3 linked regions of the Arabidopsis thaliana genome follow. The protein of the gene in region 3 interacts with the protein of the main gene of each other region in a biochemical or structural test. Each region holds a gene or a part of one and is shown on either strand. Other genes may lie near its edges. The genes, in order: EIN2, PP2A-1 and CTR1.

Region 1 (7,898 bases), 190 kb from region 3:
TGTAGATTACATAACCCATTGGATTAGTTACTCTGCTGGATTTTCTTAGTTCCCCAGAAATTTGAAGGACTTTATGAAACAGTAAGACGTTTCGAGAAGAAATATTGATAAGGACACGTGTCAGTAATCTAGCGTCGATGTGTCAGCTACGTGCAGAGATCCGGTTTAGGAGATTTAACATTTCAAACCGACGATTTCTTTATGATTCCGCATAGAATTACACAAACCGGATTCGGTTTGTAGCTATGGTCCTATGATGATGATATATGTATATAAACATAACATTACAACCAAATTAAGAAAAAAAGAGCGAAAAATTCTGAAGCAACAAAAATCCATTTTTTTTCTTCTTTTCTTAATACACAATTAACGAAGCAGAGGAGCAATCAAAAGCGAGAGTTTTGATTCTTCGGCTTCCCTCTCGACGTCACTTTGATCATGAGATTTCTCACAATGTTCTTCTTCTTCAACCCAATGATCCGTACGCAGTCACGTTTTTTCTTGAACCGGGTCCATCCTGATTCATACCTACTGGTTTATTCGATAACCGACGTTTATACCGCTTCAAAACCGAAGCCAAATTCTCTTTCCCCTTTGGGAAAGCCACATCACCTGCAGCTGTACCGGTTCGGCCTTTTCTACAAGAGATTGCCATTTCAACGTCTTTGATTAGATCAAGAAGTGTGACTGCGGTTGTGCATTTGCCTTTAGCCGGTTTTGCAGCCGGAGGTAACATTCCGTTAGCTGAAGTCGGACTCGCTCTCTGGTGGCTCGCTGGAATCTGAAGGCAAAAGCACGGTGTCATTGGTGTCCGCAGCTTTGAGAACGCCGGATCAATCACTCCCTGTTTAAATCCATACATGTCAATATTTTCAAACTGCAAAACTGTGATTTTCAATGAACTACTGCGGTTTTTGTTACCTGTAGGCGGTTGAGAACGTAAGTGTACTTTCCCCAAAGCTCAGGCCGACTCTCCATGAGAGACAAGTCAAGGACACGGTGAATGCACCAAACTCCAAAGCTCACAATCAAATCAGCTCTCCAAACGCAACCATCTCCACAGTTAGGAACCGATGAAATTAGTGGCTCCCCCATGTGACCCACCTGGTTTATTTCTCGAGCTTCAGCTTCATAGATAAACTTCTCTCGTGCAGCTACCCGGTCAATCAGTTCTTCATCAACTCCATCGCTTTGTCCAAACAACCACTCGGATCCTTCAAGTTTAATAAGCTTTAGAATACAGTGCCTGAACGACTGAAGAAGCTTAGCCTCTGCATCAACATTAGAAGAAGCGTTGTTGTCTATATTGATCGGATTCGATCTATTCCTGAGCTCCTCACCAACAGCACCATTCCTCTCCGCTACACCAAACTGCTCAAAGGGCTGTCTGGACCAAAGCGATCCGGTCCCTGTTGTTGCACTCTGTGGCAAACTGTAGGCATCTCTGTAGCCTCCTCTTGATTGAGAAATGTCATCATAAGTCGAGGGTACTCCCACCCGTGACCCCAAATTAGAATATAACGATGATTCATTGCTTAACCGACCATAAGACGCACCATACCCTCCTCCTCCACTTGACGGATCCCAGTATCCACTCTTGTTGTTTGGTAAATGCATGTTCCTTGCGGACATAGACAATCCTGAGATATCTGGCATGCTACTATATTTTTTCTCATTGGCTACTGCTGCGCCAACAGTATCAGTATTGCCAGAAGATGGAACACCGTAATAAGATCTTTCAGATTGTCGCGATATGCTTCTAGACCCAGCAAAATTCTCAAACCCAGGAGCTGGTCCAGGGGTTAGACCATTCTGGGACTTCTGTTTCAAGGCTAAAGCAAGTTGCTGTGTATAGCTCAATGTACCAAGCGCCATAGATCTCGATGTCGGGATCTCTCCACGGGATTGTAAGGCTTCAAGCCTTTCTTTTGCCAAATTGTCTACATATGACTTCATCTGGTATCCGTGAACTGTAGCTGGTTGTTGGTGTTCCCAACCCTCTGAAGATGATGGAGCACGCAGGCTAGAGTATCTTCTCTCACTCAATTCGTAAGCATTATTATTATTAGTGGTGTTACCATATGCACCCAACATCTGCATACGGTTGACCAACGGTGACGGTGACGAACCTCTTTGTAATCCATACAACGAATCGATACTTCCCGGTGTCCTCTGCTGCTTCAGTGAATCATATAAACTTGAAGTCATCTGTGAATCCATTCCCTTCGCAGTTGGTGACATGCAATATCCACTGCTAATGTCTTTTCCAAACGAATCTGCTTTCATAGAAGAGGCTGACTTTTGATCAGTGCCAAACAGCTGATCTAGTTTCTTTGCCCTGGCTTCAGCAACCAATTGCCCATGAAAATCATATAAATGTCCCCAAAATTCATCAAGGATCGCAGATAAGTGTCTCCGGGCAGCACGTCCCAAACCTTGCAACCGTGAAAGGCTTCCAGTCCCACTTCCCCCTTCCCCACTTAAGCTGCGGAATGAAGGAGGACCATCAGATCCGACAGTAAAGTTGCTTGTAGGAGCAGCTTTGGTAGCTTCTTCTGTTTCCCATGAAACCCCTTCAACATCCTTTTCAATAAACTTGCTGTTATTCTCCATGCTAACAATCTTCTCCACAGGACTCATTGGTTCAATTTTCGCCATCTTTGTTTCAACAATCAGATCCTTATCACTGACCTCATTAACCACTGTTGACTGCAATACAGACTGTTCCTTTACATCAGAGTCTTCCTTAAGACTACTAACTTGAGAGGTAGAGTACTTTACATCCAACTCTCTTTCCTCTGGAGGGCTCGAACGGATTTCTTGATCCGTCATTAGAATGTTCTCTGGCAAATCATAGACCGAGCTAGTAACAGACGTAGTATCCAACTGATCCTTTACCCTGCTTTCCAACCGCACTATTGATTCGTCTTCGTTCCTCCTTGTTTCTGTTCTTTCAATTTCCTCTTCTTGAACAGATGGATAAGATAAAGCATTTTGAGCATCCATGTTCCATATTTGAGCTTCCGCTCTGTTACTCGCAGATTTCAGCGGCGTGGCTGCCAGCCAGAGTATCAGGCATAAGGATGCACATGACGATACAAGCAGAGTGGTGTACTGAATCGAGGTGCCCATCACGGTATTCCATCTCAAACCACCAGCCCAGTCACTGCTCCCAAATACCATCTCAACAACAAAAACAACATTCAACCCCAGAAATCCCAAAAACGTTGTAAGTGCGAGGAACTCGCCAACCTGAGGGATTTTATGGACACCCATGATTTGTCTCGACGAAGCAATGCGGAAAAGCGGTATTACCGAGCAAGGAAGCATCATTGCCACCAAGACCTGGGTGAATATAAGTAACTGGTATATTCCGTCTGCACCAGATGTCCATACACAATAAAGCGCAGGAGCAACTGCAAGAATTCTGATTGTAGCACGATGAAGCCAAGCGGGTATTTCTATCTTCAGGAAGTCATGCAGGACGACCTCTCCACCGAAAGCCCAAGCTAGTGCGGTAATTTGACTAGAGAAGAACAAGAGCATCAAAAAGACCACTGGAATGAGCGGACTCATAAATACCTGTGATCAACAATCAAGAACAAGATAATTAATAATCACGAGAGATTTCTGAACATTTTCCCTAAAAATGAATTATAGACTAATACGAACATAAAACCGTCAGAACAAACCTGCTCCATTAGTGACAAGGCATCGTGAAAAGTCAGTACCACAAGGCCAGTACTGTGAAACACATTAGCTGCTGCATTCATCAATACATAATTTACAAGTGACAGTCCGCTGAAGACACCAAAGATGGCGAACAAATGGTCTTGACACAAGCTGCTCTTGTCGACATCAGACGAAGATGTACTTTCCTGTAATAGAGCGTTCACTGCTTAGTATAATTATTGCTTCTTAACAGAAAAGAGAGATACATATAAAGAGAAAAAAGGTACCCCAGCAAAATAAGAATGGATATAAAAATTGTGAGGGACGATGCTTGCGCCAAGAAGACCCATCAGTGCGAATGCGCTCTCTCCATTTAACCGAGTTAACACTCCATTCATAGAGAGTGGGATCTCAGACTGACTCAGCAAGACGCCAGATACATAGAGAAGTAATACCAGGCCTGCAGAGTAAATGGATACTGTATTTGCCATACCATTTTCCTGTCAGAAATTGTATGCATGTCAGCTAATTTCCAATAATGCTATTTCAAGAACGTGGAGAAAAAAAACAAGACAGGAAGACCAGTCATACAAGGAAAGAGGCGAAAACAGGAAATAAAAACGCATCCATGGCGGCCAAAAACACTCCAGTGGATAACTCCACCCCAAACAAAAGGTTAAGTGCATGCGCAACTCCCACAACCTGTTTATAATAGAGAAGCTCAAGTCAGAGGAATCAAAATTTTATCACATAATAAAAAAATTAAGAACAGCAAAGATTGTAAGTAACTACCATGGTAAGGTCGAGCAGAATTGCTGAGAACTCCGCCTGAATGCCCAAGAACATGCACGTCCACTTGTCATATTCTTCATTGCAGATCTGTCCCAGTAAAGAACATTAAAATGTTAGAAAAATAGAGAAGGTGGTTAGTAGAATTCCACTTTGAGAAAGTGACAAGACAACCACAGAGCCCAGTTTGTTATTTTAAAAAGTTTGTTCTTTAGAGATCAGAAAAATGTTTACCTGAGCCAAGTGTTTACCAGTCACAACGCTTATGCGAGCTGCAACATATTGGCATAAGATGGCGGCAAAATTGAAAAGCAGAGTAATTGCCACCAAGTCATACCCGAAACGAGCACCTCCTTCGATATTTGCAACCCATTTCCCGGGATCAATATATCCGACAGAAACCAAAAGGACAGGAAGTAGAGCAGGAACCATTCTCTGGATAAACCCTAGCTGAGGTCTCACATTCACAATTTCAGCTTCCATCCTAAATCTATCTGATAATATAATTACTCAGAGTAGGATTCAAGGTCAACTCTACAGTCGTGGTTCACTAAAAGCCTCAGTTGAGTAAAATTCACAGATTTGATCTAAAACACCTTCCCTCGCGAAATCTGATTCCCTCCAAAGCTAACACACAACAACGAATCAGTCGGTTCTTCTATCACCGAGGCAAACAAAGCCACTCTAACGCTTACTTGTTATACAACTCTGTACAGTCTTTCTTTACCTAATAATAGCTGAAGTTTCCTCTAGTAACCAGATGTTAAGTTAAGGACCAGACCTTCTTCTTATTTGCTGCTTCAAGGAGAGAGATCATACAACATTCAGCTAAGTTGGTCCAAATGGAGGAAGCCCTAACAGAGCAACCAAGAGCAGAACATAGACTTCCATATGCTTAACCACTACGGATATCTCCAAACCATTCGAAATCAGCTTCAGACCTGAATTTTTTTTTTATGGTGAAAATCTTCAGATACAGTAGTATTACAAATCAATAATTGATCTTAGTATGAAGCAGCAACAAAAAGAAGATAAGCTCAAAAAAAATACAAATTTCAACTAAACTGAAGCTAAAAGAATCGTAACGCTGACGAAAAGCAACAAAAATGCAAAGATCCCGTATGATCTACGCATTCAGATCTTCAAGGAAAAAAAAGGTCAACCACAAACCAAGTACAGTAGTAAAAAAGAAAAAAGCTTAAATCTCGCAATTAAAACAAAACCCAGAAACCGAAAACAATCCCGAAGAACTCCAAGTCTGGAAAGTCCAGATAATGAAGAGGGAGAGAGATCTAAGCTGAAACTACGAATTCGATCCACCTGATGAAATTATAAAAAGCTGGAAAAAAAACCCAGAAAGTCTCATTTGCGCAAAAGCCGAGGGAAAAGCTACAAAAACCCATGAAAGTCCGTACAAAGCCCCCCAGCAAAATAAAAAAAAAAACAGAGGATTAGGGTTTTTGAAAGAAGTCACCTTCGAAATCGCCATGATCGCAAGTTGACCTAACAACAATAGTCTCAGTGAGAGAGAGAGAAACGGATCTTCAAAAGAGAGAAACTCTTATCAAGCTACGAGAGATAGAGATAGAGAGAGAAAAGAAGAGGAAAGAGAGAAAGAGCTCAGTTCCATCGAAAGAGAGAGATAAAAGAAGATCGAAAAATCAATTATATAAAATATTTATATATAAAAAACGTATACATACATATTTGTATCTATAGGTCTGAAGGTTATGGGTGCTCGTGCCACCTTCAAAGAGAGAGAGAGAAAAAAAAAATTATTACTTGTAAATAACATGTAAAAATAAAGGTATTATTCTTTTTTTTCTTATAGCTAAAAAAACGTCTTTTTAAATAAATTTTCCAGGTTTAACATATAGTTTCTTTAATCCATCTTTATTAATCTTTTTAAACTAATCGTAGTTTATTCCATGGACGAAGAAGAGAATTATTATTACTTTAAATTTCTCGACCCCTCTTTCTCCTCATTACATGTAATAATAATACATCAAACAGCTTGATTATGGAGTTTCAAATGGAGATTATTTTACTTGATTTTGTGAAACGCTAGCTAAATTTATTTTTGTACTTTTGATTTGAGTAATACAAAAATGTTGTTTTCTAGCAATTTTTTTAATTTTTATTAAAAATTTAAAGGGACGGTTACAAAGCGAAAAATAATATAAACGTGACTAACTTTAAGAATACGAACAAAAAATAAGGAATCAAATCTTCTAACTCGCAAAAGATTACATGTGTCGAGAAGATTTGAAATTTTTTGTTACATTCGAGAAAAGTTTACGCGATTCTCGCATACTATAAAATTCAAATCTTAAACAAATAAAATTGTTTAAATATTGTATATATAACTTTTGGCTACCTTTTTATTAGAATTAAAATCCAAACATAATTTAGATCTATTTATCTTATATTAGAGACCAATGTCTAGGAATTTTTTTAATGATTTACTTATTTTAGTATTAAAACAATCTTTAAAATTTTACAAAAATACATGAATAGGTTCTATTATACATTTCAGCGTTCTGCAAAATACTGAAATTATAATTTTCCTTTTGCATAAATATAATAAAAGAGAAATCAAAAACTTTATTTGAAAATGACGTTATTTGAGAAAACTAACTAAAGTTGATGATACAATTAGGCGTTATCAAAAGCTGAAGTTGTTGACTAACGAAAATGGAAAAATAAATGAAGGCGTTAGTACCATAAATATGTAAAATCGGAAATGAGAACAGGATTCGACATTATACTCCACAGAATGCTATAAATAATACGTCTTTATATAGCAAGTTTTTATTTATTCTGCTGTATATGTATTAGACATCAATATTAATTGCATAGAACAACTATTTGTCAAAAATAAGAATTCATGGCCTTCCCTCAAATAGAAAAGAAACAAAACAAAAAAAAACATTTTGTTTTATTTGTCTTTTGATCTCAACTAAGAGCTTGATTTCATTAAATCATCATTGAAAAAACAAATACACTCTACTTTTAAACTAAACAAATATCATATACGAATTTCCATTTTATACAAAATATGTAGTTGGATACAAAATAATAGCTAGATTTTGTTATCACCAGTTATAATAAGTCATTAAGATTTGTCAATAGATTCCAATAAATGTATCATTTTACTAACGAAGAAACAGTTACTATAGTTAGTTAACTGAATCATATTTTAGTATGGTTATATTGATTGATCAAACCATCCTTAACCGAACTATCCAAATCACAAAATCAAACCCAAAACCAAAAGAAGAAAACAAATATAAATAGAATTTCTACTATTTTTGGTCAAATATAATCCACGTGTTCCTAATCATCTCCTACATCAATGGAAGTACAGCTTGGGCTTTCGATAACCATACATTGTACCTTACTATTTTTTCCAATTTGATTTCTTTAGGCTTTTTTTA
Region 2 (4,439 bases), on a different chromosome or scaffold from region 3:
GAGGTAGAGAATGAGCTCACACCTCAAGAGGCGAGAAGCTATGCGATATCACAATTGCCTCGGGAGCTCTCAAAGCACACTGGGTTTGCGTTTGATTCACCAGGTTATGAATCTTTCTTTGCGTCTCAGTTAGGGATATACGCGCCACAGAAGGCGTGGGATGTGGCAAGGAGAGCCAGTATGAGATCACGGCCAAAGGTACCGAAGAAGTAAAGATCCAATATATAACATATTATTGCTAATTGTCTTTGTACATTTAGGCAATGTCATCGGCTTGGGGGGTTTTTGTTAGGGCCTTTAGTTCTAAAATATATGTAGAAAATATGCTTCATTTAGGTGTTTTATGTTTGTGTTTTGCTTTAAATGCCATTTTCATAGCTCCATTTATGACTAATGTGGAGAGGCAAGGCGTTAGGAACCCAATACTTGTTCCCCATGTACATAAAATTGATTTTATTACACCTTTGAGTTTATTATTTCTCTTTTTTTTTATTCCAAATATCTTTTGCGTCTTATTCTTCTTATACATTGTATGTCAAATGTGTATACCCCATTTTAGAGTACTACTATAACAATCCCATTTTATATTATTAGTCGATGCCTTATAACAACGAAGAAATGGTTTAGGAGAGGACGAATACTCTATTGGTACTATTACACACCAACTGTGATAGAAATAGTGAATTCTTAATTGAAACATCAAGTTATTATCAAAAGACATTTTCTATAATAAGAAGAGGCTTCTACAAACCTGTTTCAGTATCAACATCAACAAAAAAATGATGGGTTTTTCGTCTTTGGTATCACATTCCATCTAGAGACTCGAAAAAACAAAATAAAACAGACACATCTACAATGATACAGCAACAAACAAACTTTGGAAGAAAAAAAATGAAATCACAAAAAATAATCAGGGGTCTTGCGCGTGGTATCGGGTTCGACTTGTCTAGGTGCTGGATCGAATTGAAGGAAGTTCTGTTCCATCTTTTCTCCAATCTCAAGAATTGCGGCCATGTTTCCACATCTGTAACAGTAGTTCGGTGCACTAAACACTGTCACTACGTTCTTTTCCTATCAACACACCGAAAGATTCAGCATTTTTGCAACCAGAACCCTATTCAACACATATGCCAATCTATTGTTATGCACATATTATATACCTGACACCAATTATAGCCTTCCATTACAAGTTGATGCGCTCTTGAGATCAGACTCAGTCCATTGTTATGATTAAACTGAGTAGCAATGTCCTGTCCAAACGTGTAACCAGCACCACGAGGAGATATTCCCCATCCACAACGATCGTCGGGATCAGACCAGAGTAGATCGCACATTGGTCCTTCGTGTGGAACCTACAATCCCAGAGCATACCATATCAGATTATTACAATCCTTGTTCTATCTGAAGCCAAAACTAATAATAACTAGGAGGTTGGTTTCAGAGAGTTTATAGCCAGAGAGAAACAATGTCTTTAGGGAAAAAGAGGAGACATTTACAGATACTAAATGCAAAACAATGCTTCTATACCCAAAACAATACCTCTTGTATTCGATCCAAGCTTCGGATATTGTCAAGAGTATCCAGAGAAGGTGAAAGGCCTCCATGCAAACAGAAAACCTGTCACGGAATACAGTTGATGAAGAAAAGTGCGGAAGTGAAACAACTACGGATGATACAATGACGACTGGCAAGAACAGCTCGAACCTGACTCTCTATGAGTGCTGTAAGAGGGAGATAATCGAAAAGGTCCGTAAAATACTTCCACACATTTGCATTTCCGTATTTCCTCAAGCATTCGTCATAAAAACCATAGCTGAACAAACATAAGCAAAAACAGGCACAAACCATTGTTAGTGCTTGCGAGTCAGAAGCAAATGAAATACAAGTCTTCTTAGAAAGAAAATCTTACACTTGTGTAATCTGACGGCTCTCATGATTCCCTCGCAGGATCGTAAGTCTGTCCCTGTAACGCACCTTTAATGCCACCAATAGAGAGACTGTTTCTACAGAATAGTAGCCACGATCTGCACAGATATAACCAAGACAACAATAAACCAAAGAAATAACTATTAGCTCCAAACTTCAAACTGAACCAGCGTACTTTGAATCAAACATGCTCTGAAAATCAACATAAGAACACAGATCTCTAAAAACCCAACAAATCAGGAAATTTAACTTACCCACACAAAAAAAATTGAAATAGAGTGATAGAGAAGAGAGAAAGACATACCTACATAATCTCCCATGAAGAGGTAATTAGTATCAGGAGCATTACCACCAATACGAAATAGCTCAATTAGGTCATAAAACTGGCCATGGATATCGCCGCATACCGTAACCGGACACTTAACCGGTTGAACATTATATTCCTCAACAAGAATCGCTTTAGCTTGATCGCAAAGGATCTTCACGTCTGCTTCACCTAACGGCTTACACTCCATTAGCTGTTCGATCTGACGGTCGAGATCTCCGTTTAACGGCATCTCTCGTCGTCGTCTCCTTTAACCTTTAATTCTAAATCTTACAACCAATAGCCACCGAATCGTTGTAAATCGAACACGTCGGCGACGGAGGAGTAGGAGGAGAAGTCGCCGATGGTGTTAGAGGTGGCTCTGGCTCGTCTTTGGTTTTGTTTCTCTCATATCACACAAAATGGATATTTATTATTCTTTACACAATTTTTTTTGTTAACGAGTGATTTTTTTTAGTTTGTTTCTTAACCAAGCCTGGTCAAAAGGAAATGACATTGGCAAATTTTTAATCAGACAGGACACCTAAACTTCAAAGTGTATCAGTTATTTAACTATTGAAAGTCTTAAGAGTTGAGACTTCTATGTAAATCAAGACTATTGTATAATGAAAAATTATTTTTGAGTTCTTCTTCGAATTAACCAAGCAATGATTATAGTAACAATTTCATGTGTATTATATTGTCCATAGTATTAAGCTCAATTTCCTTTGGTATCGATATCAACTCATCTGAGATTTTCCATTTAGTTAGACGAATATTTTCATGGATTTGAATGATCACGGTACACTGGGATTTTACGTAGTTTTTATTGACACAATGATCTCGCCAGTTCATCGGCAAAAGCTATGGCAAAATCAGTTTGTGTAATTGTTTAAATCAAAAATATATTAAAATTGGTTATTATTATATTTGTGTAAAACATGCTTAGATTAATCATCTGTTCAGTTTAATACAATTAAATTTATTTTTAGTGAAATTTATAATTAAGAACGATAATTAATAAATTTTAGCCAACCTCATATTAAAAATATAGAATATTCATTTATGGTTGTGAAAAAACTGAAATATAGTGTGAAAACTGATATTTTTATTCGAAAAAAAAATAATCTTATAAATAGAGATCTTCATAAAGAATATTTGAACTGATCACAGATATAGAAAACTATAAAAATCTATTTTTCTATAAATAGAGATCTTCATAAAGAATCTTTATTAAAGATATAGAAAACTATAAAAGTCTATTTTTCTCAATAGAGTTCATAGTGAAAATATATAATGGACATCAGAAAAACATATGTGATTATTTTCTTTGTAGGGATATTGACAATTTCATTTTCTAGCTACAACATTGGCCAAACCAGGTTAGTTGTTATCGTTAAATTATCTTTGATCATTTGAAGAGCAATGTTTGAACATTTTTATATCATAAAATATAGAATTGGTAATAGCTATTTATATGTATGTATATTATTGGATTGTGTATTTGCAGCAATCCAGCAAGAGCAAGAGCCACATTGCATTGGGCCATGTGAGATAGCTTTCGGTAATAGACCATGTAACGAAGAGTGTACAAGTCAACAATATGCATATGGATTTTGTGATTATCAAACAAAAGGTGAAGACAACCCACAATGTTGTTGCTACACATCGTAGGAATTGATACTTCTTTTAGTAATTGGCAATTTGATCGTTATAGTTTTTTTTTACCGCATTTTAAAAGATGACTTTTGTAGTATTTATTGATCTTAATAATAAAAGTCTTATTATACTAGCCTTTTTGTAGTCTAATTATATTGACCTCAACATTCGTATTTACAACCTAATAACATTCTATCAAAATTATTGACAGAGAGTTTACTAAATTAAACTATATTGAATTGGATTGATTTAAATTCAATTTAGAAATGACATATAAGTTTTCTTATAAAATACTCGCAGAGATTTTACGGAAATAGAAAATGTGAAAAAACTGCATAATTCAACACTATGTATATGGACAATGTGATTTTGTTACAAAAAGTGGGAAAATACCACAATGTTGTTGTTACAGATTATAGAAACCAATACTCATATGAGCCATGGTGATTTGAACCTTCTTTGATTTCCAAATCAAACAAAATTAAGATTGGTATTTTTAATCTAGCATTTTCTAACAAAATTATATTTGTCTCGACGTCCATTTTTATGT
Region 3 (7,641 bases):
AGTAACCGACAAACTGTAGTCAGATAATTGAAAAAAATCTGGGGAATAGAGAGGCGGTGGAAATGGGTGGGTCAGTTCCCGCCACCGTGGATTTATCTTTTTCGTCATCATGTTCCATTGATTCATCAGTTTAGAAGAAATTTGGAAACTTTAGTGACAAATAATTGTACAACCGACATTGAAATTGAAAGTTGTTTCCTTGCAGCTTCACTTAGCTCTCTCTCTCTGTGATTTGGTGAAGGAGAGAAAGTGGTGACGATGGTGGGTCCCACGTCATCTTGAGATTTTTGAAAGGAGGAGTGATTTAGCGCGTTTGCCAGGTCAGCTTTCTAATTTGGAACTGGGCCCTCACAAATCACTGATTCGCTTTTCGTGTTTCCTTTTTCAGAATTTAATATTGTATAATTTTGATTTACGCAATCCTATTGGTTACCGATCCATCAAACGATTAATTCGGAAGACAGGTAAAGTCGTTTTCAAGTGTGGGAACTTACTTAGACGCGAAGGCAAAAATAGTTGACTATGTATCTAGATATTTTCAGTCCCAATGCGTTTTTAACGATTTGGGATTATATTCATCTGTATTAGAGTCTCCGAAAGTTACAGTCTTATTTCATTTCTGTTGGTTTATAGTCCAGACTAATCGCACAGTGAACAAATGTAAATCCAATGAATCATATTGAGTTTGCAAAACCCTTTGACAGCATTTACCAGCTGCTCTTTTTTACCTTCGCTTAGTAACTAATTTAGCGGTATAAATGTACAGCAATGTAATTAAATATAGCTTTCAGTGCATTGCTACAAAGACATAACAACAAAATATTGCTTACCCTTTGGGACTAGATAGATAGATTATATCCCTCACATTGTTTCCATTACTACATTTTTTTTTCCTCCCTGTGACAATAGTCATGTACATTTTAACAATCTGCAACATTAAAAAGGGAACAAAACAGCAGACAAAGATCGCAAAAATAATACATGTATAAAAACCATGGGATTCTGTAGGATATGATTGATAGCTCATGAGGAATGTACCTTTAAAGCTATATCTTAACTAGTGTCTCCCTCCTGGGCAGCAAAAGAATGCTGAGAGTATATGTGCATATCATGATTATAACAACTTTTGAATGGACCGGGGGTATTTTACAAATCCGAGCGGTTGGGCGGAGGAACCGCTGATTTGATCAATGGTCTTAGCAAGTCCATTATAGTTGCAAATGATGGACGCTTCCATGGCTCACTGGTAATGAAACACATACATAAACATGAAGTCTATTCAAGAAGAATTCAAAAAAGAGATAGAAAATCTTAACGTACTTGGTCCAACAACCCTCGATTATGGCTGCAACCTGAGGATTCAGATTACGCGGGATCTCCAGCCGTTTACACTTGAAACCAACCGCAGCTACAACCTATGGAACATTTTTTTGTATGATCATATATAGCATGTTATGAAATGTAGAGTGAGGGACTTCCAAATGCAAAATAATATCATTATTATTTGAGATGTTTAGAGTGGAAAGTACCTGAGCCGGATTTAAGTTACCCCATGGTTGTTGCAATGTAGCAAGCTCCCACAAGATGACCCCGAAGCTGTACACATCTGACTTTTCATTAGACGGCTCATCTCGCAGGACTTCTGGTGCCATCCACTCGGGCTGATATATCAAAGTCAGTAATTATTTAGCTTCCATTGGAAATAGGACCTAGAAGAAAGTTACGTTGTTCAGCGTGTTTTAGTTTCAAACAAACTGAACTTACGGTTCCAGCTGCTGACTTCGAGGAAAGAAACGTGCTGGCCTTCAATCGCGAGAGACCAAAATCACAAACCTGAAATTTCAAGACAAATTGAGGAGTTAGAATAATAATGTTCTGATTGTTTTTAAGACGACAGCTTGAGGCTGCTGTATCTTTTAAGTTTCAGCAGATTAACGCCTTTTTGTAATGTCTCCAAACCAATTTAGAATTAAAAATCATAATTTATATATAAGCTTGTCTCACAAGAGGAATAAAATATCAAAATCAAAACATTGGACACAACAATTTCTAATTTAGATTCAAACCTTGACTGTATATTTTTTGTCAACCAATAAGTTTGGAGATTTTAGATCTCTATGCACAATTGGAGGATTGCGATTGTGAAGATAATTCATTCCCTTAGCCTGTGACAGAGAATTGGAAAGAAAGTTCCATGTGAAGAAACACCAAGATCAGGAAGTAATCACCCATACATGTAACATAAGGAATTAAACATACCACATCATAAGCCATACTCAGGCGACGTCTCTCATCTAATTGCTCCCTTGCTCCACTTTTATGCAAAAGTCTGTATAAACTACCTCTGTTTGAAAGAAATCATGGTATTAGAGTCATTATAGGCCAAAATTCTACACTCAGTACATCAAACCTTCCAAATCCAAGTAATTGTACCTTGACAAATATTCTGTCACTATTGACAAATTTGGAGGTTGAGTGACCGCACCCATGAAGAGAACAATGTTAGGGTGGCGAAGGCGTTTCATTATCGCAACCTGACAGCGAATCAAGATCATTGGAGACATTAATACAACAAGTTCATTACCAAAATCAAGAGAAAATTTTATTTGTGCACCTCTCTTAAGAACTCATTAACACGCTCAGCATGGAAGTCTTGCTCCATGAGAATTTTCACAGCAACATCCTGAAATTGATAGAGAATATTACTGCAATAATCAAAATTAGAATTCTTCTAGTGATAGAATTGTAAAATTCAAACAGGAAGACAAATTTATGATATAAAGACACATATACATCTAAAATGGGACACCTTTTGTCCGTGTTTAATTTCTGACAGAACGGAGAGTCACATATACAATAACTTTGCCTTTTATAATACCAAGCAGATCCAAAAGTCACAACCAAATTTTTAGAGCGAAAAAAAATTCAGCTGCGTAAATTCTGACAAAAAAGTTCTTACCGAGCCATGCCACTCAGCACGGTGGACAGTGCCAAAGGAACCTGAAAGAGCAGTCGCTCAAATTAGAGTGGAAGAATTAAAGGCAACAGAGAAGAATGTAATCTCAAAATGGGTGGCACTTTTTCCTTATTTTGTTCGAGAACAGAGTCCAAAGCAAAACCACTTCCTCAAGAATTTCATATTTCTTTGCATTTTTAGACCGAATCATTAATTTTTCCGTAAAATTATTACCTGCTCCAATCTTTTCTTTTATATTAAGATCACACCACGGGATGTCCATATCATCACCATCAAGTCCAAGTTCCCTATTTGCCCTGTTTGGAACTGGCTGACTGATTGGTGGGGCATTCATAGGTGCTGCTTCAATTTGATTTGACGCACGCATCATGTTCTGTGGAGGCATATTAGCACTGGGTGGCAAAGACCCACCACCATTTTCTGCCAATGCGTCATTCTCTCCACCCGGATTATCATATTGCCTATGAAACATTGAGAATCCCATATCATCTACAACCATTCAAACAAGCAGATATAAGAAATTAGAGTCCAGAAGACAAGTCTTGCACATAAATGCACTAGAATTCATAAGCTTGAACAGCAGACTAACAAGTTTAACCTTAAATATCATTAGGCAAAGAACCCACCAACAAACATACACATCAACAGCCAAAAACAACTAAAGTGAAAAGAGACAAGAAAACAAACAATAGAATCATTCTAAGACTACTAACACTTCAGATACTGAGACATGATCAAGAAATACCCTAAATGATAGGAGATTACTCTTTTAGGGGAAATACAAAACGAGATGTAAGCAGCATGCAAAAAGTTAACATATTATTCAGGTTTTTTGTATGGGAATACCTGATGCAGGATCGAAAACAAGATTAAGAGACTGGCTATCGGAGAAATATTGTTTGGCTAGTAACCTAAAATCGACTGCGGGTTCAACTGGCTTTGGTCGTGGAAACCGCAGAGGAGAAGAAATTGAGATAGATGAAGGACCATTTAGCAAGGAATCAGGCTCCCATAAGTGACCTGGCTTTCCTACTAAATCAACCAGGTACTCCCTGAAACCAAAACAAATTTTCCACGTCATCAACCTAATATTCTGCGAAACATTTGGAGCTATAATTGTTTTTCCAGAAACAAAAAGCAAAGAAAATAGGAAAATAAAGGCTCTTTCGCAATCACTTGTATCATACCTATCAAGCCCAAACCTGACAAGGCACGAAGCGGCATCGTCTCTATTACAATATTTACATCCTTTGGCAATTCGACAGGGTAAATCAATTATGTCAGCCAGTACCTGCATGCACCAAATAGAAGATATAAAATACTTTTTTTCTTTGGAACATTCAACTATCAGTAACCTATTTTTTTCTAATCAATAACACCACTTTTCACATTCAACGTTCTTCATATGTATTCCAATAAAAACAAATGGATGAAGCACAATAATTTATATGATCATTTCACAAGATGTCTTAAATGTCATGGGGATAGCATCAAAGTTGGGATCTCACTTTGAAGAGTAAAGCTCGATGTCTGCAGAGTCCAACAGAGAGGCTACCTATGGGAACCACCACTTTAAAGATTTCTTTTAGACCATCAATGCACTCCTTCCACATGGGAACCAACTCATCTTCCCCCATGATAACTGGACCCCTGGGGAAGCAAGAATTAACGAGTACAATGTGAGAAATCACAGGAAGATATAAAAATATAAGTTCAAAGGGATAGTAAGGATTGTATGAGTACAAACCCCATACGATTGCAGATAAGCTTTGCCAGCTGATCAACAACCTCTTTTGTGGTAATGCAGCTACAAGATATGTCGTGGACTCTATTGTGAAGTTCCTTGAAGGCTGGATCACTACGCCTATCAACTATGATCGCTTCAAGCGAAGAATCAACACCAGAATCAACAGCTCTTAATGATTCAATTGAAGGGATGCGACCACTTTCATGCAGGTCGATGCATAAGGTCCAAATATAGGGATCCAGACCATTCATCATATAAAACCCATCAGGAACTTTATCATAGTACGATAAGCAGCCATTAACCTGATGCAGCACACAAAACAATCATACTCTGCAATGTATCTAAACAACATATCTCATTTGCTACTAATAGACTTTTGGTAAGGAGATCTAACTGAAACTTCGGAAACAAGAGGACCATATCTCTATAACCACGATTCAATAATTTTGGGAAACAAAGCTTAACAGGAACAAATACCCAGAAACGATGTGAAACGGTTTCGGCTGAACTTGGCGAAGTCCGTAAAGCAGACTCGTCCGGTACAGGATCCAGAAAGTTCGGATCGTCGGCACAAGTAGCCTCCGACGAAAGCCTTAACGCCAATGCAAGCTGCAGCTGATAACTCTCCTCCGTCTGCTGCGCCCAGCTCTTCCCAGATGAAGACCCTCCAGCGGAGTCCGCCGCCATCTGTATCCTCAAATCTCCTCCACCACCACCAAATCCAAGCCTAAACCCATCATCTTGAGGAAATCCAACAGATTCGATCTCGTTAGCCGCCGCAGAAAGCGTAGGCATGTAATAATCCCCAGACAAAGAGCTCTCACCGAAACTACTCCCACTGGATTGCCTTTGCAACCCTAGAGACGAAGCATACATATTATTCCCAACCCGATTCGGTTGATTATTCAACCTATGATCACCACCACCACCACCGCTAGGATCCCAATCAAATCCGCCTCTCTCCGCCTTAGCTTTCCCGGTGTTCCCGCTGTTATGGTTGCTCCTGTTTTCGCTCGACAAGGAATCATAGTGAGGCGGAGGAGCTCCGGTGACGGAAACTGACACCTGATCGTCAGAAAATTGACTAAGCAAAGTGTAATTAGATCTTCTACCGGGCATTTCCATGGAAAAGAGAGTTATCGCGATCTAGATGAGAGAGTTTCCCGATCATATAAACATCAAACCCTAGGAAACCGCCATTGTTGAAGAAGTTTGGCGAGCTAGCTAGCCACTTGTTTCTCTCTCTAGTTTTTCATTTTTTTTTTGTACTTTTTAAAAAAGTCTCTCTCTCTCTCTCTCTCTCTCTCTCTCTCTAATGGAATTGGATTTTTTTTTTGTTTTTGCGTTATCATAGGAAATAAACTTACTCGGTGCGTTTCTGTTGATAATTTCGTTATATTCCTCTTTTGTCCTCCTTTTTATGGAACTTTGACATTTTTTTTATTTTTTGTCAAAACAATTCTCCAATTTAGTTTGTTTTTTAGTGTATTATTATTTGTCTAATTTTTGTATTCGACTATGATATCTATTCATATGTTTTGTGCTAATTTAATCGCTAATAAAACTGTTTAAACAATTAATTTGGTATTTCATATTTTGGTGATAAGCAACTGAAATTGGAAGATAAAAAGTAGTATCGTAGTGAAAGTAGAAAACGCAAAGCTAAAAGAGGAACATACACAGTGTAAAATACTAAACCATCTTGCCTATCAAATCCAAATACTATCAAATTTGATCTTTTACACCAATCTGAATCCGTAACATTGGATCCAAGTTTCGTATACCTAAACATGAAATTTTCATTCGGCTCTACGTAGTCTAAAAAACTCGACATAAAATAAATAAAAAGCCTTTATAACGTCCACAATATTTAGAATAGAAAGTGAGAGAATGGACTATAATAAAATAATTGGAGTCGAGGGGGATGTATTCGTGTATGCGAAAATGGATGGGCTCTTCTGTCTTTATATTCCTTAATTTGTCTATTCAAACACATTCGTATTTCTGGTCTTCGGCCTGCGACTTCTATACCATGCATGCATCTTATCTCTCTCTTTTTTTTTTTTTTTCGTTTTCTTTTCTACTTCTCCATTTTTTTTTAATTTGGTTATTTTTATTGCCTTTATGTTTTTTGTGTATTATATATAAATGAACTAATAATACTTCATTATGTTTCGTGTTATTATAAGTGAATTTTTCACAACCATTACAAAAAATTATCTTTTGCTTAAAAGTTAACTTTGGATTATAGTACTTCATAAAAATGTAAAGATTTTGATCAAGTACTTATCAACGCAGCTTGGGTAGTCAATGTGCTGTCATTAATTTATCTATCAAGCTATCCACGCAGCTTGGACAATAAATAAATATTTAAATTCTATTGCATATTTATATCATTTGATCCGCTAAGGTTCATCGAATACTGCCAGGTTCATTGCACTCAACGCATTTTTGTCATTAACTTACGTTTTTTAGCCATGGCTGCTGAGAATATAAAGTTGCTACTATGTAAAGAAACTTTTGGGTTTGATCATATTTGTGCACAAAAAAAAATAAAAAAAAAATCATACTTTTAAAACTAGTATTAATCCAAAAAGTGCTAAAACATAACAAAAAAAAATTCTCCTTAACTACTATACAAACATATATTTTTTTATGCGCATAAATTAAAACTTAACAATTGATTATGATCACATATGTTGAAAAAAATCGAAATTATGTGTGATATGTAAAACCGGAGTATAATATTGGTAAACTATAAATTTAAGAGCATTGGAAAATGTTCATGATTCATGCCGAGAACTCTTCTAAATCTAAACACGAGAGGCCCCGAATAGATCTAACTAAAATGAATTGTGTTTAATATAATAATAGTGTTCCTTAATTCTCACTCGTGCAACTATCCATTTAATAATTT

What was found.
Region 1: of the proteins of CTR1 (region 3) and EIN2, one has a biochemical effect on the other in vitro, tested with the Arabidopsis thaliana proteins (one study listed by BioGRID).
Region 2: the proteins of CTR1 (region 3) and PP2A-1 form a complex in vitro, tested with the Arabidopsis thaliana proteins (one study listed by BioGRID).

What each region holds. Positions count from the first base shown.
Region 1 is NC_003076.8:785,635-793,532, reverse strand, and holds EIN2 (NRAMP metal ion transporter family protein), read right to left. Parts: upstream 6,106-7,898; 5' UTR 5,936-6,105; intron 5,403-5,935; 5' UTR 4,945-5,402; coding exon 4,696-4,944; intron 4,552-4,695; coding exon 4,465-4,551; intron 4,375-4,464; coding exon 4,264-4,374; intron 4,173-4,263; coding exon 3,960-4,172; intron 3,879-3,959; coding exon 3,693-3,878; intron 3,583-3,692; coding exon 922-3,582; intron 845-921; coding exon 467-844; 3' UTR 129-466; downstream 1-128. UniProt on the Arabidopsis thaliana protein: Central factor in signaling pathways regulated by ethylene (ET) and involved in various processes including development, plant defense, senescence, nucleotide sugar flux, and tropisms.
Region 2 is NC_003070.9:22,019,811-22,024,249, forward strand, and holds PP2A-1 (protein phosphatase 2A-2), read right to left. Parts: upstream 2,694-4,439; 5' UTR 2,484-2,693; coding exon 2,231-2,483; intron 2,025-2,230; coding exon 1,910-2,024; intron 1,814-1,909; coding exon 1,705-1,813; intron 1,618-1,704; coding exon 1,540-1,617; intron 1,353-1,539; coding exon 1,161-1,352; coding exon of another isoform or gene 1,119-1,160; exon of another isoform or gene 1,072-1,118; coding exon 898-1,071; 3' UTR 567-897; downstream 1-566. Other genes in the region: ALA3 (aminophospholipid ATPase 3), read left to right, coding at 1-213; AT1G59833 (Defensin-like (DEFL) family protein), read left to right, coding at 3,527-3,625, 3,749-3,904.
Region 3 is NC_003076.8:973,812-981,452, forward strand, and holds CTR1 (Protein kinase superfamily protein), read right to left. Parts: upstream 6,039-7,641; 5' UTR 5,850-6,038; coding exon 5,202-5,849; intron 5,027-5,201; coding exon 4,725-5,026; intron 4,628-4,724; coding exon 4,486-4,627; intron 4,269-4,485; coding exon 4,165-4,268; intron 4,030-4,164; coding exon 3,824-4,029; intron 3,467-3,823; coding exon 3,191-3,466; intron 3,001-3,190; coding exon 2,960-3,000; intron 2,684-2,959; coding exon 2,615-2,683; intron 2,535-2,614; coding exon 2,434-2,534; intron 2,345-2,433; coding exon 2,260-2,344; intron 2,166-2,259; coding exon 2,067-2,165; intron 1,834-2,066; coding exon 1,765-1,833; intron 1,662-1,764; coding exon 1,530-1,661; intron 1,416-1,529; coding exon 1,321-1,415; intron 1,244-1,320; coding exon 1,147-1,243; 3' UTR 1,039-1,146; exon of another isoform or gene 898-1,038; 3' UTR 549-897; downstream 1-548. UniProt on the Arabidopsis thaliana protein: Acts as a negative regulator in the ethylene response pathway. Phosphorylates the cytosolic C-terminal domain of EIN2, preventing the signaling in the absence of ethylene.